Callithrix jacchus: one gene and its partners. The protein of the gene in region 4 interacts with the protein of the main gene of each other region in a biochemical or structural test. Links are inferred from orthologs where the notes say so. Each region holds a gene or a part of one and is shown on either strand. Other genes may lie near its edges. The genes, in order: PARP1, PANX1, BIRC2, CASP7 and PTGES3.

Region 1 (3,521 bases), on a different chromosome or scaffold from region 4:
TAATCATAAGATGGCAGTAAGCAATATGTGATCCCTTGTGTTTTATGTATCAATTACAGAACATCTGTACCTTTTTAAAGGGTATGTACATGCACGAGGCAAGTTTTCAGCGTGGCAGTACTTGCTGCTTATGCATCGAGGCTGTTGCCCCCAGGCACTTGGCCCACAGAATCAAGGCCAGCTCCCTAGCTTATCCTCAGAGCCCTGCAGCCTCTTTCTGCCACCCTCTTCCTCCTCCTCACATACCACTTTCCTCTCCTCACCCACCGCCAGTGTTGCTTATACTTTTTTTTAGTTGAGGCATTAAAGCAGAACTCATTCTTTTTAGGAGTACCTAGCAATAGGGCAGCTAGCCATGGTGCCCCACATCCCACCAGGTGCTACTCGGATGGCTGTGCTTAGGCAGTCTTCTGAGTCTTCAGTTCCCAGCAGGCTTAGCAGGTCACTGCCTCCAAGTATATGCTAGCATTCCCTGTCTTATATCACCTTAGCACGCCTCTGGCATAGCTTAGCTCCTGTGTTAAAGTTCACCTTTATAGACTGGGCACGGTGGCTCACGCCTGTAATCCCAGCACTTTGAGAAGCTGAGGTAGGTGGGTCACCTGAGATCAGGAGTTTGAGACCAGCCACCTGGCCAACTTGGTGAAACCCTATCTCTTAAAAAAAAAAAAAAGTTTACATTCATATAGCTGACTCTCAGTCATGAATGAGATACTTTCTCAAGGGCATAAACTGTCTTTTTAACCAAACTGTAATTAGTAGCACATATTAGGGTGGTCAGTGTGTGCTGGAAAGAATCTGTGACCTCTTATATCCAGCTGGCACCCTGAATGTGGGCACAGCTGGGAAGGGCAGTTTTTTCATTAGATGAAGACCTGGATCTTTCCCTGAGCCTCGTGTATTTGATATTTATTGAGTGATCGTTTAGAGCAAGGCCCCTTGTAAATCACTTGGAGTGAAGATTGAACTGTGCTGATGGAAGAATTTGTTGTGAATACTGTAAGGCTCTCTGCATTCATTTTCCCTTCTTCTAAAAAGGGAAGGGAATACTGTGATTTCCTTTTGGGTAATAATCTCCCAGTGCATATAGTGTTGGGGGTTTTGGAGTTCTGGAGTAGGTGTGTGACCCCACAGAGCCCCATTAACTCTTGAAGGGAACAACTCAACAATGAGGCCAGGTAGGCTGTATTCACACAGCAGTTCCAGGGGTGATTCCCTGGCCTAACTGTCCGCTGATTTGTTTTTAAGGGAAAGATTTTTCTCATAAAGCAGCCACAATACCAGCCCTACTATAAATGTAAAAATATCAGAAATAAATACTATAGCCCCAGTAATAGAATCTTTCATCCTAGAAGCCCCGCATTTTTCTATTGTTTGTTGTAAGAAGAAAAAACTAAAAAGAAAAGAGAAAACTCCATTGTAAGAAGTAAAAAAGAGATTATTTAATTTGGACAAGCCAAATCCTTTTTGGTCTATGGGGTGGTTGCTTCAAGGGAGAGCTGGCTTCTTAACTAAAACTAAATATTTTTTAGGAATTCCGAGAAATCTCTTACCTCAAGAAATTGAAGGTTAAAAAGCAGAACCGTATATTTCCTCCAGAAACCAGCGCCCCAGTGGCTGCCGCACCTCCGCCCTCCACAGCCTCGAAGCCTGCTGCCGTGAACTCTGCTTCAGCAGGTATAGCACGTGGGGCCCCAGTCTTAGAGCTGCTTTGCAGGAATCATTTGTCCACTATTTGATGGTGGTATGGAGCTGGTAAGAAAGTACCCTTCGGGGGTCTCTCTTTGCTGACCCCACCGTGGGGAAGCCTTGCCCTGCAGGGCTTTGACTTGTTACACGCCCAACCACAGCAAGGCAGGAGGATATTAAGACTATAACATCGGCTGGGAGCAGTGACTCACACCTGTAATCTGAGCATTTTGGGAGGCCAAGGCAAAAGAATTGCTTGATGCCGGGAGTTCGAGACCAGCCTGGGCAATATAGCGAGACCCCATCTCTACAAAAAGTCTTAAAATGTTCCAGGTGTAGCAGCTTGTGCTTCTAGCTCTAGATATTCAAGGAGGCTGAGGCAGAGGATTCCTTGAGCCTGGGAGGTAAAGGCTGCAGTGAGCTATGATTGCACCATTGCACTCCAGCCTGGGCACTGGATCTCTGAAAATAAAATAAGCATGGTAAAAAAGCAAACGACTCTTATTCTGGGATGCTAGGAGGGGGCTCCTAAGAAAGGCTGGGTCGACAGCCTTACCTGGAATAGCACGCAGGTCTCCTTCCTGACTACACTGCAGAGCAGCTTGCCAGGCCTCACTCTTTAGGCCATCTGGTGGGCCTGCCAGTCATCCTGGCCCTGGTGTGATGCTCGAGTCTCTGTTGTGTGCAGAGGGAGTTACGCCCCAAGCCAACCAAGACAGTGAGAGCAATGTGTTCTTTTGGCAGAAGTGACCTGCTGCTTATTTTCTCAGCGACATGTGGCATGGTCTAATGGTGAAGGTCACAGTTTGGTGGGTGGAGGATGAGGGTTCCGTCCTTGAACGTAAATCTGTTGTTGACCTCTGTTTCATATTCTGAGAGGGACCAGTGGTCACTGCAGTGTGTGTGTGTGGTCATCCCAAGTCCACTGTGCTGCTGGCAGCCTTGGGTCCAGGTGCCCACCTGAAGAGCTAGGTGGGGGCTGGCATTCTGACCCCTCCTTGGAGGGTTTCCTCCTCTGTTTTCCCCTGACTTGCAGTTCAGCACAAATCAATAATTTTGTTCTCTGGAGACCACACCAGTTTCAACTAAACTGTCAGTGTTAACTAGTTGTCTGCCTTTACAGGGAAGGCAGGAAGGACTTTTCTTTGCAGCATCTCCAGTTCTGGAAATGTGTCACTAGCACTGTTATTTGCTGTGAACAGAAGGCACACCTCTGTCCAGGCCTTTCTGGCCTGGGTCAGTGCATACCTGGCTGCTGCTTTTCGCCTAGAATCAGTTGGCTCACCTCAGTGTGATTGTGCTGGCCACTGTTTGGAGGGGCTATCGTAGACATGTCTTACTTTTAAAACGGGGTTAATTAATAAGAATTGCAATTTGTTTGGGAGGATAACAGAAGGAATTGGGGGGATCATGTGGAAGAACCCCCAATTCCTTCTGTTACCCTCTTCCCATCCCACTCCAGCCTCCTGGTCCCTCATCCACAGATGCAGCCTTCCTAGCCCGCCCATGGAGCTGACCTTGGGTAACCCCCACCTACCTGGTTCATGCCAGCAAGGCTGGCCTGGCCATGGATTGGCATTTTGTGGCTTGCTCCCTGCCCAGTCCTTTCTGTGTCAAGGGACATCTGTAGGTGCTCAGATGGCAGCTTGCTGTCCCATCCTGTTTTCTTCCAAGCATATTTTCATAGGCTTCCTCAGGAGCTCGCTGCTTGGCTCATCGGCTTCTCCACCTCCCCTTCCTGGGGAGCAACATCAGAGTTGGCCTTGCTGAATGATTTTGTCCTTTCATCCCCAGGTAAGCCGTTATCCAACATGAAGATCCTGACCCTCGGG
Region 2 (4,185 bases), on a different chromosome or scaffold from region 4:
GTTGATTTTCTGTGCTAAGTTCAATGCAACATGTCCTCCCTTGGAACTCCTGAAAACCCTTCAGAAAACATGGGACTCTGCTCGATAGCGCCTCACCCAAGTGCCTGCCAACCTTCACCAGGCCGGAGCTCATAGCTCAATACCTGTTTGGGTGCTGAATTACACACAGCTGAACAATGTTACCTGCTAACAGATATGTTCTAGTGCCCCAACTGCATAGTAAACTGCCACAGGCCAGAGGGAGGGCAGGGCGAGAACAAGGTCTCAAAACCCTTTCCCGTCTTCCTCAGCACACAACAGTGCTATGCACACAGCATGAGCTCACACCCTTGCTAGGTAAAACCACCCCTAATCACCCAAAATTACCTCTCAGGCAGCCCACCAATTTAGATGTATCTTAAGGCATTACAGGTGCAGGTTCCTTAGGGATCCCTCTAGTACATGCACTAGAGGTGGAGACTGGTCACAGAGGGCGATCAACTCCTCCTTCCTGCCTTTCTGTTCCAACCAGGGACCCAAGACTCGCACCTCCAAGACAGGGTCCAGGCCTCTTTTACTCCCAGGTCCTTGGAGGTCAGCACTTAGTTCAGCACACAGCCAGAACTCAATGAGGAGTTGACTGAAGGGAGAGATTATCTCCAGGACACACGCTATTTGGTGGTTTTCCTTTCAGCTGGAAGCCTCAATTCACTGTCAAATGGGAAGCGAATGAAAATCTCAATGACTATGCCTATGCAAAGAGCAGGAAAACTAGAAACTAACTTTCCACGATGAACTTGGCAGCTTCCTGCCAAACTGAACAACTTAGTGCTGCAGATTGCACAATCACACTCGTCGTCACTCTTTCCTAACCAACTCTTCCCTCAACTTCACTATTCCCATCACCCTCAACACCACACTCCACTCACCCAGATATACAGCCTTCACAGCAAGTTTGACCAGTACTGCCCTTCATGGCCTATTACAAACTAGGTACTCACGTGCTGCTTATTTACTCCTTGATCTTACAGCAATCACCCATCCATTTTCTTCCATTCACACCATCTGTGCACAAGACTTCAACAGACTTCTTGCTTTAAGGCACCTGGCCCTCCAGGTCCCATCCTCTCCTCCTTCCCAAACCCTATATGCCACCAACAGGCTAGTATTTACGTAATGCTATTGTTTTCAACCACTCTGTCCTCTGCTCAAACAATAAACTTCACAGTTCTGAAACCATCAATCTATACTCTTCTATTCCAGGCTGACCCAGGCCCATATTCACTCTCAGATCCCAGGAACTCTTGACTTATCCTCCTGCCGGCTAGGACAGTCACTGTGTCTCTCTTTCCAGGAACATATAACATTATCTGCCATCTCAAAACCTTAACAAAGGTCTTACTCCTGCTTAGCCAAATCCCACCCACCCTCTGACAAAAGTTTCCCCAAAGTCCAGCCACACTAGGCAGTTCCCCCGCCACAGAACTGTATTTAACCCTCCTGCACTACCTTCCTGTTGATTCCTAAAACTCTCTCCTGTGTGAAAGTTAGAACAGCTGATGAGGAAGAGCAGCCACGAAGACTTTCCAATCTCAAACAACACCTATGAAGCTCACATGAGAATTTACAGGAAGGGGACTTGTTCATCTCACATTCATAAGACCGTCCAAATGAAGGATCCCTCTAATGCCTGCCAAGTGCAAATATTTCCTATTATTCACAGCCCTGCAGAGCTATCTCAGCAAATACCAATTAAATATAAGACAGTGAAAGAACACACTTCTCATGAAACAGCGTTCTTCACATTCTCCATGTGGCCACTCAGGAACTTCTCTGGTACAATATTTTAGGCGGCTGGACAGGTATGTAGGAGACAGGGAAGAAAAGAGGGGACACGGCTATTCTTGGCAAATCTGGTGGCAAGGTGCTAGTTTTAAAGGTGGGACATGAACTGTAAGCCACAGTCCCATCAGTGGGTCTCAGGGAACAAGAAAACTGAGGAGTAGGGATGAAAGCTGGGTAGACAAGAGTACCAATGAAACACCTGAGCAAAGAACACTTTGGACTATAAAACCGGGGCCACTATCCTACCTGACATTTACGACCATCACAGTTGGGCGTGCCCAGACTTGGGCCTATGAGCCGTAAAATCGTAAGATCACAGCTCACTCGGCCAGACCCAGACGGCCCTCCCCTCCGACCTGGGCGAAGCTTACCAATCGAGATCTCCTGGGCGAAGGCCAGGGAGATGAGCAGCAGGGGCAGCCCCACGGCGATACACGTGACCATCTTGTCCACGGCCAGCTCCAGTCGCAGCCCCTTGAACTTGGGCTCGGTGGGCTCCTTCAGCAAGAAATCCGAGAATACGTACTCCGTGGCCAGGTGGGCGATGGCCATGGCTGCGGCGCGCCGGGGTCAGCCAGGCAGGTCCAGATACCGCTGGCGTCTGGCGAGCTCCGCGGCGCCTTCACCCCGTCACCGGCCTGGGGCGCGGCTTTCGCTTTCCCTTTGCCCACTCCCCGGCTGCGCCCAAATCCCGCCTGCCTTTGTGTCTCAGCGCCTCCGGGTCGCAGGGACTCTGCTGGGCTCTCGCGCTTGCTGCCTCCGCGGCCGGCGGGGCGGGGACCTGGGCGCGGCGATTCCCGCCGTCCCACCAAGCGCGCTCAGCCCGTGCAAGTCCCCGGGGATGCGCGGCACTCGGATGCGAGCTCTCCAGCGAGCCCGCAGGCGCTTGAACCTCCGGCCCGGCCCCTCCGCGCCGCCCAGACTATAGCGGACTCCTGGCCAGCCGTGCTCTCTCCGCCAGCGGCTGCGGGCTCTTCCGGAACCATCCGGGGAAACCGAGTACCCAGAGGCGTGGAGTTTCCGGAAGACGCGGTGACGCGAGGCGGGGTGGGCGCGGCTGCATCCGCGCCCCTCGGGCCCACCCTCTGACGCAGGGATTTTCCAACAGAATGAACCGGCAACCAAGAGAATGGGAAAACATTTTTGCAATCTACCTATCTGACAAAGGGCTAACATCCAGAATCTACAAAGAACTAAAACATATATGCAATAATAAAACCAACAACCCATCCAAAAGTGGGAGAAGGATATGAACACTTTTCAAAAGAAGACATATATGAGGCTAACAAACATTTGAAAAAATGCTCATCATAACGGATTATTAGAGAAATGCAAATCAAAACCACATTGAGATACCACCTCAAGCCAGTTAGAATGGCGATCATCAAAAAATCTGGACAAAACAGATACTGAAGAGGATGTGGAGGAATAGGAATGCTTTTACACTGTTGGTGGGAGTGTAAACTAGTTCAACCATTGTGGAAGACAGTGTGGCGATTCCTCAAGGACCTAGAAATAGAAATTCCATTTGACCCAGCAATCCCATTATTGGATATATATCCAAAGGATTATAAATCATTGTATTATAAAGACACATGCACAAGTAAGTTCATTATAGCACTGTTTACAATAACAAAGACTTGGAACCAACTCAAATGCCCATCAATGATAGACTGGACAGAGAAAATGTGGAATATTATGCAGCCATCAAAAATGATGAGTTCGTTTCCTTTGTAGGGACATGGATGAACCTGGAAACCATCATTCTCAGCAAACTGACACAAGAACAGAAAATCAAACACCGCATGTTCTCACTCATAGGTGGGTGTTGAACAATGAGAACACATGGACACAGGGAGGGGAGCATCACACATCTGTCGGGGGGAAATAGGGGAGGGACAGTGCGGGGTGGGGAGTTGGGGAGAGATAGCATGGGGAGAAATGCCAGATATAGGTGATGGGGAGGAAGGCAGCACATCACACTGCCATGTGTGTACCTATGCAACAATCTTGCATGTTCTACACATGTACCCCGAAATCTAAAATGCAATTTAAAAAATTGGAAAAAAAAAGAAAGACAGGAGGAAATGCTCTGACCAGTGTCCATGGAAATTAAGGCTATTGAGGTGGAAATAATTTGACTGATTGGAAGGTAAATGTGAGGACCCACCCAAGAAGACTTACCAACAAAGTTGGATATGTTTCAAAGTTTATTAAACGTTGGAAGGCTTTTATAAGAAAGTTTAGGAGAAGGGAGGAGGACCCCTCATATCACAGTTGGGTTTTCAGAGGGTATAGTACAGAGGTTACAGTCACAGGCTGCAGATGACAACACACAGGCTAAAATGCTTTGTGCACAAG
Region 3 (2,503 bases), on a different chromosome or scaffold from region 4:
GTTCTCACTAAAGAACTTTTAGTTTGATTCCTCGAGGGAGCTAATTATCCCGTCAGCTATCATAGGCCAGAATGAAAGGCAGAGAAAAGTTAACAATGTTTTAACATTGTTCTGAGTCAACTGAATTTGGGGAAAAAAGAATTCCCTCTCTAATGGCTGGGAGAGCATTTCTCTCATGAGGCCTTGAACCTAGGTATATATGCATTTGGACTTACATACATGCATCAGCACATCAGGATAGAAACAAAAGCAAGAGAAGAGGCTGGAGGATACAGAAATTCTCACTCACTCTTCCCGTGTGTTCTCTAAAGGAATCTAAAAGAGCTGTGATGTGAGAAGAAAAACGGAGAGTTTTTAATATTAGACCTCCTTATCCACCTGGCTTCAGAAGTCTGCCAGAGCCAAATCTAAGAAAGGTCAAATATGACTGGACCCAGAAAGGAGGTACTTACCATTCATTGCCTTTATGCCACCTCCTCGCCCCATCAACACTTATGCAACAAAGCAATTACACAAATGTCTGAAAACAACAACTATTTATCTAATTTATTAAGAGTTTTTCAAAATTAATGTTGGATTCGTTTTTCATCCAACATTGTATCTGTAACATACAAAGCAACAAGAAACTGTCATCTAAAGAAATTTCCCAAATAACATTATTTTTAAATACTTGTTAATAATTTCTCATGAATGCAATTATTTACTTAATAGTTGGCATTTGAGTACAATGAAGACACATGAAAATTACTTTTTAAATCAGGACAAAAAAATATTCTGGTAACAATCGTTTTAAAGCACTTTACTGAGATGTTTCTCACAAACTAAGGGGAGAAATAAGAGAAAAATCCTTATTTTAAAACACAAGTGAAAAGCACCGAAGACAATTTGGCACCGTAACTCTGATGAACTCCAGAGCTCCCGGTTTCCAGTTATTTTAATCTACACTGTAATCTAGTATTCAGAGCTTTCTGAAAGAATACCAAATCCAGTAATTCCCTAAATGATATATAACAAGCCGTGACACTAACTCCCTTAACTCCTCTTATGTCCACACATACACACTAATATAGTTCACCAAACATAAATCTTCCCTTGTAAATAAACAGATTAAGATTAAATATGATATTACCTTTTAGAAACAAGATTATTAGTACCAAAGCAGACTAAAACATGAATGTTACTAATTGAAAAACTAATAATTCCCTTTTTGCTTCAGATGGCTTCAAGTGTTCAACAATATTTTAGAGACTTTTTTATACAGGTTAAAATATAGCCTATTTTTCTCTAAGAGAGAAAAGTACGAACAGTACCCTTGATTATACCCCTGCAAATAGGGCATTTTCTTAGAGAAGGGGCACATTCCTGGCATACTACCAGATGACCACAAGGAATAAATACAATAGAAACTTCTTTGTCCATACACACTTTACAAGTTCTTTCTTCTTGCAGCCTCCTCAATTGTTCTTCCAGTGGCAGACCTAGTAACAAAAAATAACATTAGTGAAACTGTTTCCACTTCATTTCCCATTAAAAAAAAAATAAGGGTAATAGTTTTTGTTGGTTTTAAATCTTTGTTTTACCTGAAACATCTTCTGTTGGAATATACTTCATATTCTTATCCACTGAGGAAAGAAAACATATAAAAAGCATCACTCTACTAACACAAAACTGCTTCACCTACTACCTCTTTTTTTCACCTATTTATGAAATGATGTAGATCGTAGCTATGTATCATCAGAACTGTTACATTTAGGCATACTACTTGGGAAAGAAAAGGCCGCTTTTTGGGAACAAGTGAAATACAGACCGTTGCTAATTGGATTTATTTGCTTGTCAAACAGAGATGAACATAGTCCTAAGAATTTCTAAAATAATTCTCCCAACAAACTCACCAAATAAGTTCTTATACAACGTAGAGTCAATTTCTTTTAGACAGTGTTTGAAGATGTTGGCTGCAGCATTTCCTTTAACCAAAATGGTATCAATCAGTTCTCTTGCTTGTAAAGGAATCTGTGTTTTTTGTTTAATAATATCATGTTCCTGTTTATTAATTACATTGGCCTTTAAAAGATTATCCAGGATAGGAAGCACACACGTCAACTGTTGAAAGAGAGCCATTCTATTCTTCCGAATTAATGACAAATCATCTTCATTAAAAAAAGAAAAAGAAATCCATTAAACTCCTTTAACTACACTTATATAGTCAGTAATAACCAAATCTACAAATAATTTAGGCACTAAATAAGTTCAAAAAACAAAGTAACTTGTTTGCATTTTAAAGTTTGTTGTTTTGGAAAACTTCCAGAGAAGTATGTTTCTGTAACTTTTAAGTCTATATAGTCACATGTCCTAGAATTCCACTTTTACTTTTGTTTGTTGAAAGACATTTTTCAAAGATAGTAAAAATTTCCCCCCTATATAATACTGACTTATATTTCCATTGAATTACTTTACTTTTGTAAGTACTTTCATAGTAATTTGTCTCATTTGATACAGCAATCCT
Region 4 (3,521 bases):
AGGCAGGGCCTTTATAGAGGTAATTAAGATTCAATGAAGTCACTAGGGTAGGGCTCTGATCCAAGAGGACTGGTGTCCTTATAAGAAGAGACACCAGAGGCCTCACTCTGTCTAGGTCAATCTCTGTCATGTGAGAACATAGCAAGAAGGGACATTTATGAGCTAGGAAGGGGGCCCTCACCAGAAACTGACTGAGCCAGCAACTTGATCTTAGACTTCACAGTCTCCATAACTTAGAGAAATAAGCGTCTGTTGTTTAAGCCACTTACTCTAAGGTATTTTGCTATAGCAGCCCAAGAAGAACTGATATACTCTGATCCAGCCCTGAGTTTTACCAAATGCACTGGGGTATCTGGCCCCTCAGCACTCCATCTGACAAGCCATCTTTCTCTTACCCATGTTGTTTGAAATTTTAGGCTCAGTTACAGCAGCTCCTTTTTAACATCACTTTTCTTGCCCAGGTGGGGTGGCTCACACCTGTAATTCCAACACTTTGGGAGGCCAAGGCGGGCAGGTCACAAGGTCAGGAGTTTGAGACCAGCCTGACCAATGTAGTGAAACCCCATCTCTACTAAGAATATAAAAATTAGCTGGGCATGGTGGCGTGTGCCTGTAATCCCAGCTATTCAAGAGGCTGAGGCAGGAGAATCGCTGGAACCGGGAGGTGGAGGTTGCAGTGAGCCGAGATCATGCCACTGCATTCCAGCCTGGACGACAGAGTGAGACTCCCAAAAAAAAAAAAAAAAAAAAAAAAAAAAATATATATATATATATGATTAAAAATAAAAAATAAAACATGGTTTTTCTCATCTGCCTCCTTGCTCAGAGCACCTACAAGTCTACCACTGGGTTTGTTTATGCAGACATATGCCTCCATTACACCACCTCCCTCTCAAGAGCAGGAAGACCAAATTATTTTCTATCTTATACCATCCTTAAAACTTGTGAAATTATCGCTCTCACAAAATCCCATCTGTAGATGCTGCTAGAGCTGGTTTTCCAAACACACCGTCCTACTTACTGTAACCAGTACCTTTGTGCCAAACACTTGACAAAAGTACTAGCACAGCTGGGAAAATTCTAACTCAGTGCTGGTTTGTACCCAAAGCAAAGGAAGGACTTTCACTGTACAGACTCAGTCTAATGTGGCACTTGGTAAAGTGAGTAGGCTTGCCCATTACTGGCATTTTCTGGTACCTGTGTACAGGCTGCAGCGTAAAGGAACCTTGGTCTGAGCCACAGCTCCACTGCATACCGAAATCACGTAAGCTCATCTAAACTGAAAATTCTTTTATCTGTAAAATCAGGACAGCAATAATACCTTTCCTAAATATGTATGCTATTATTATAAGGATAATATGAGAAAAGACACATGAAAGATACTCTGTATTGTAAAGCACTATAGAAATGTTTGTCCTTATAATTACCAATAAGAATAATGATAATAAATAATAATAATAAATCGCTTGTCAGATGGAGTGCTGAGGGGCCGGATAGCCCAGTGCATTTGGTAAAACTCGGGGCTGGATCGCAGGGTGTGTCAGTCTTCTTGGGCTGCTATAGCAAAATACCTTAGACTAGGTGGTTTAAACAACTGATGTCTATTTCTCTACGTTATGAAGGCTGGGAAGTCCAAGATCAAGTCCCAAGTCAGCTTTCCTGGAGAGAAAAGGGAATGCACTTCTGTGGTAGGCAGAATAACGGTGCTCACAGATGTCATCCCCTAACCCCAGAATCTGTGAACATGAAACCTGCTGTGGAAAAAGGACTTTGCAGATGTGGTTGAGGTTATTGGACTGATGGGGAGATGATCCTGGAGTGTCCAGGTGGGTCCCATCTAATCACAGGAGTCCTTTCTCAGCTGTGGTCAGAAAGAGAGCACTGTCACAACAGAAGGGTCAGAGAGATGCAAAGTTGCTGGCTTTGAAGATGAAGGAAGGGGCCACAGCCAAGGAATGCAGGAGGTTCTTTGTGTATTTTCAGCCACTATGTTTGTAACGATGTATTACTGCAGCAAGAGGAAACTAATACAGCCCCCAAGTCTGTGTTTTGATGATGGAATGGACTGAAGTATGCTTAGTAGACAATAAACGTGATACCTGGCACCGTGGAATAGGCAAAGAGAAAGTCAGCTTCCACTGGGATCTTATATCGGGGATTAGCATCTGTGTCATTGATGGGCCCCGAATCGGCCTGGATGCCATCATCGAGCTCTGTCCCTCGGCAAGCCTAAGTATCAAAGCAGACATTAATCCATGCAGTTGGGGACAGACACGTGCATGCTGTTCACTGCTGTGTCCCAATACCTAGAACTGTGCCTGGCAAACTTAGGAACTCAGTGATAATCTGATGAACAGATGAATGAATCAATGTGTGTCAAATTACTAAGCAAAGCAAATAAAAGTACTGCAATGTCTTAAAGAAACCTTCATAATTTATGGTGGGTCGTGAAGTCTCACGCCTGTAATCCCAGCACTTTGGGAGGCAGCCAGGAGTTTGAGACCAGCCTCGTCAACATGGTGAAAACCCATCTCTTCTAAAAATACAAAAATTAGCCAGGCATGGTGGTACGTGCCTGTAATCCCAGCTACTTGGGAGGCTGAGGCAGGAGAATCACTTGAACCTGGGAGGTGGAGGTTGCGGTGAGTCGAGATTGCACCACTGTATCCCAGCCCAGGTGACAGTGTGACTGTCTCAAAGAAAAAAAAATAAAAAACCTTCATAATTTGTGATCCAGTGCAAACACATATGCCAACCATTCAGTGACAGAAAAATAAAACCTTAATTTTAATTTGGAAGAACACTTAGATTTGTAAAAATGATGTCATCCCGTCACTCTGTAATCTTTCCCCATTTTCAAGTGTACTGGCACTGAAAAGAGATTACCTGAATGAAGAAGAGTTTGGGTTTCTCTAAAAGGGTTCTGCATCTATCCCCCCTAAAATGGGCTGTCAAATCCTTTATTGGTGTGACACCATCTTTCCCATAAATTAAGTTTTCTTCTCCATGGCTTAAGAGGATGCAGGCGAAGCAGGCGGCATTTGTATGGTCCTCTTCAGAAGCTGCAAGCAAACAGTATGAACATTGAAGAGTTAAGGCTTTAAGTTCTTGGGGGCTTCAGAAGCAGCATTTCCAGAGGCAGCCTGGTAGCTGTCCCTGACTATTAGAGGGGAGTGGAGGGGAGGTCCCAGGAACTGGGCTCCTCTCAAAGCACCAGACTTATCTAAGAAGTTAAGAGGGAGGAATAGCGTATGGGGGCTGATGGGCATGGCCCTGCTGTTGGCTAGTTCCGTGATATCAGGAGTGTTACTGAACTATTTTGTGCCTTGGTTTCCTTAACCGTGAATTGTAAAACAGGCCATATAACAAACATCATGCACGTATATGTTAAAGAGAATAAAATATTATACTAAGTGAAATAAGCCAGTTACTAAAGGCATGCACTGCATGACTCCACTTTCAGGAGGTACCTTGAATAGTCAGGTTCAGAGAGAGAATATAGAACAGTGGTTGCCAGGGGC
Region 5 (2,632 bases), on a different chromosome or scaffold from region 4:
GTCTTAAAGGAAAAGCAACCAAAAATCAAAAATATATCGTTTCCCAATGAATAGGTAGGTGGTCTTGCTATCTCAAGTAATTCACATTTCTGTTTTGGTTATTTATTCGAGGTCATAAAGAAAAAATTACTTTTCTTCCAAAGTTAACATCACTTTTTTGAGTTTGGTTTTTGATGTAAAATATCACTGTGTAAACATACTTTTTATATACACTTACTTTCATCATCACTGTCTTGTGAATCCTGCAAGAGGCAAAATTTAGAAAAGTTACTGAGCTGACCAAATATTCCTTTGCTAACTGAACAGTTTACCTTAAGTTCAAGTGCTGTATTTTTGATCTAAAGTAGCACAGGTAGTTAAGTACATCAAGCATAGAAATTTAGTCACTGGACTTAAGACTAGGTTTACCTAAGGTGAATGGATGTACAGCAGAGGATCTATCTACCTGTTAAAAACTAGTGTGTGCCTTTTGGAGACATTCAGCCCACATTTTGAATCCCTCCCTAAATTCTATCTTGGCATTCAAAGAGAAAACATGGTTCAATATGAAGAACAATGGACTGACAGAAAACAGTGAACTCTAATCCTAGCTGTTGAGTGAATATTACATATTTTTCTAAACTGTATTAAATAACTTTCCAGGAGCTGTTAAAATGCTGGTGTTGGGAAGATGCTCAGAAAAGTAGTTTAATATATCATCCTCTTACAGATTTACAACGTCCATTTGTTTAACTGGTCTCTGACTAATCCTGACATTAAACCTATTTAACTTGCTTTCTTAGTCAAAATAATCCCTATAAACCGATTCTTTTTCTGAGACAGACTCTTGCTCTGTTGCCCAGGCTGGAGTGCAATAATGTGATCTTGGCTCACTGCAACCTCCACCTCCTGGGTTAAAGAATTCTCATAACCGTATCCTCTCCAGCAGCTAGGATTACAGGCATCTGCCATTATTGCCTGGCTAATTTTTGTAGAGATGGTTTCACCATGTTGGCCAGGCTGGTCTTGAACTCCTGACCTCAAGTGATTTGCCCACCTCAGCCTCCCAAAGTGCTGGAATTACAAGCATGAGCCACTGTACCCAGCCTAAATTGACTCTTATAATTCAGTAAAGTATTAATATATAATGTCACTATACAATGATTCTTTTGAAATCTGATCCATTTAGGAATGGTCTACAGAACAACCAGTTCCCTAGTAGATATTCATTCCTCAAAAATGGGCAGATTTTAAAAACTGCTTTTCCCTTTTTATTTTTTTTTTTACAAAATAAGAAGTAATCCTGAATCTCTATAAAACCACCTGTAATATGCTGTTTCTTACTATTTAATAGTATAAAAGTAAACAGAAAAAAAAACTTTTAGACTTACATCATCTGCTCCATCTACTTCTGGTAAATCTACATCCTCATCACCACCCATGTTGTTCATCATCTATTTGAAGTGTAAAAATTAGTTTAAAAAATGATGTTGTTACGTTAGGCCCTAATTATTAGGCTGCATGCTTCAGAATAAACCTTAAGTCTGCCACAGATATCCACAAATGAAAAATGCAAAATAAATGTAAGCATTTTCCCTTCTGTGAAAGGTAGATTATAGGTAATTACACAAAATCCTAAAAACCTGTACGGAAATTAAAACTAAATTTTCCCTAAAGAAAAACCAAGCTACTCATGCAGCAAGTATCAATGTATGACAGACATTAAAAATTCTACTTGAGTAGTGGTTACCTCTGGTGGTTAAAGAAAAGAATGGGATTCATCTGTAGTTGCAAAGCTTTCTATCTTAAGTTAGGTAGATTGTGTATTATGGTATTCTTTTTTTGTTGTTTCCCTGAGATGAAGTTTTGCTCTTGTTGTCCAGGCTGGAGTGCAATCGTGCGATCTCAGCTCACTGCAACCTCCGTCTCCCAGATTCAAGAGATTCTCCTGCCTCAGCCTTCTGAGTAGCTGGGATTACAGGCATGCACCACCATGCCTAACTAATTTTGTATTTTTAGTAGAGACAGGGTCTCTCCGTGTTGGTCAGGCTGGTCTCAAACTCCTGACCTCAGGTGATCAACCCACCTTGGCCTCCCAAAGTGCTGGGATTACAACAATGACACACCACGCCCAGCTGGTATTTTTTTTTTTTTTGATACAGTCTTGCTCTGTCATCCAGGTTGGAGTGCAGTGGTGTGATCTTGGTTCACTGCAACCTCTGCCTTTGTGTTCAAGCAATTCTCATGCCTCAGCCTCCTGGGTAGCTGGGATTACAGGCATGCACCACCATACCGAGCTAATTTTTCTCTATTTAGTAGAGACAGGGTTTCACCATTTTGGCCAGGCTGGTCTCGAATTCCTGGGCTATAGCGATCCACCAGCCTCGGCTTCTCAAAGTGATGAGATTACAGGCACGAGCCGCCATACTCAGCCTTTTTTATTTTGAAACAGAGTCCTGCTCTGTTGCCCAGGCCGGAGTGCAGCGGCACAATCTCGGCTCACTGCAACTTCTATTTCCTGGGTTCAAATGATTCTCCTGCCTCAACTTCCTGGGTAGCTGGGAGAATAGGCACACGCCACCATGCCCAGCTAATTTTTCTATCTTCAGTAAAGACAGGGTTTCATCATATTGGCCAGGCTGGTCTCAAACTC

What was found.
Region 1: of the proteins of CASP7 (region 4) and PARP1, one has a biochemical effect on the other in vitro, tested with the Homo sapiens proteins (3 studies listed by BioGRID). The link is inferred for Callithrix jacchus from reciprocal best matches to the Homo sapiens genes CASP7 and PARP1.
Region 2: of the proteins of CASP7 (region 4) and PANX1, one has a biochemical effect on the other in vitro, tested with the Homo sapiens proteins (2 studies listed by IntAct). The link is inferred for Callithrix jacchus from reciprocal best matches to the Homo sapiens genes CASP7 and PANX1.
Region 3: the proteins of CASP7 (region 4) and BIRC2 form a complex in vitro, tested with the Homo sapiens proteins (2 studies listed by BioGRID, with this or other methods). The link is inferred for Callithrix jacchus from reciprocal best matches to the Homo sapiens genes CASP7 and BIRC2.
Region 5: of the proteins of CASP7 (region 4) and PTGES3, one has a biochemical effect on the other in vitro, tested with the Homo sapiens proteins (2 studies listed by BioGRID and IntAct). The link is inferred for Callithrix jacchus from reciprocal best matches to the Homo sapiens genes CASP7 and PTGES3.

The regions. Positions count from the first base shown.
Region 1 is NC_133520.1:22,865,368-22,868,888, forward strand, and holds part of PARP1 (poly [ADP-ribose] polymerase 1), read left to right. Parts: intron 1-1,532; coding exon 1,533-1,677; intron 1,678-3,483; coding exon 3,484-3,521. UniProt on the Homo sapiens protein: Poly-ADP-ribosyltransferase that mediates poly-ADP-ribosylation of proteins and plays a key role in DNA repair.
Region 2 is NC_133511.1:46,208,669-46,212,853, forward strand, and holds the start of PANX1 (pannexin-1), read right to left. Parts: upstream 2,822-4,185; 5' UTR 2,377-2,821; coding exon 2,196-2,376; intron 1-2,195. UniProt on the Homo sapiens protein: Ion channel involved in a variety of physiological functions such as blood pressure regulation, apoptotic cell clearance and oogenesis.
Region 3 is NC_133511.1:2,410,898-2,413,400, reverse strand, and holds the end of BIRC2 (baculoviral IAP repeat-containing protein 2), read right to left. Parts: intron 2,148-2,503; coding exon 1,893-2,147; intron 1,623-1,892; coding exon 1,581-1,622; intron 1,479-1,580; coding exon 1,285-1,478; 3' UTR 520-1,284; downstream 1-519. UniProt on the Homo sapiens protein: Multi-functional protein which regulates not only caspases and apoptosis, but also modulates inflammatory signaling and immunity, mitogenic kinase signaling, and cell proliferation, as well as cell invasion and metastasis.
Region 4 is NC_133513.1:106,662,759-106,666,279, reverse strand, and holds part of CASP7 (caspase-7), read right to left. Parts: intron 3,063-3,521; coding exon 2,887-3,062; intron 2,230-2,886; coding exon 2,100-2,229; intron 1-2,099. UniProt on the Homo sapiens protein: Thiol protease involved in different programmed cell death processes, such as apoptosis, pyroptosis or granzyme-mediated programmed cell death, by proteolytically cleaving target proteins.
Region 5 is NC_133510.1:62,989,731-62,992,362, reverse strand, and holds the end of PTGES3 (prostaglandin E synthase 3), read right to left. Parts: intron 1,434-2,632; coding exon 1,323-1,433; 3' UTR 516-1,322; downstream 1-515. UniProt on the Homo sapiens protein: Cytosolic prostaglandin synthase that catalyzes the oxidoreduction of prostaglandin endoperoxide H2 (PGH2) to prostaglandin E2 (PGE2).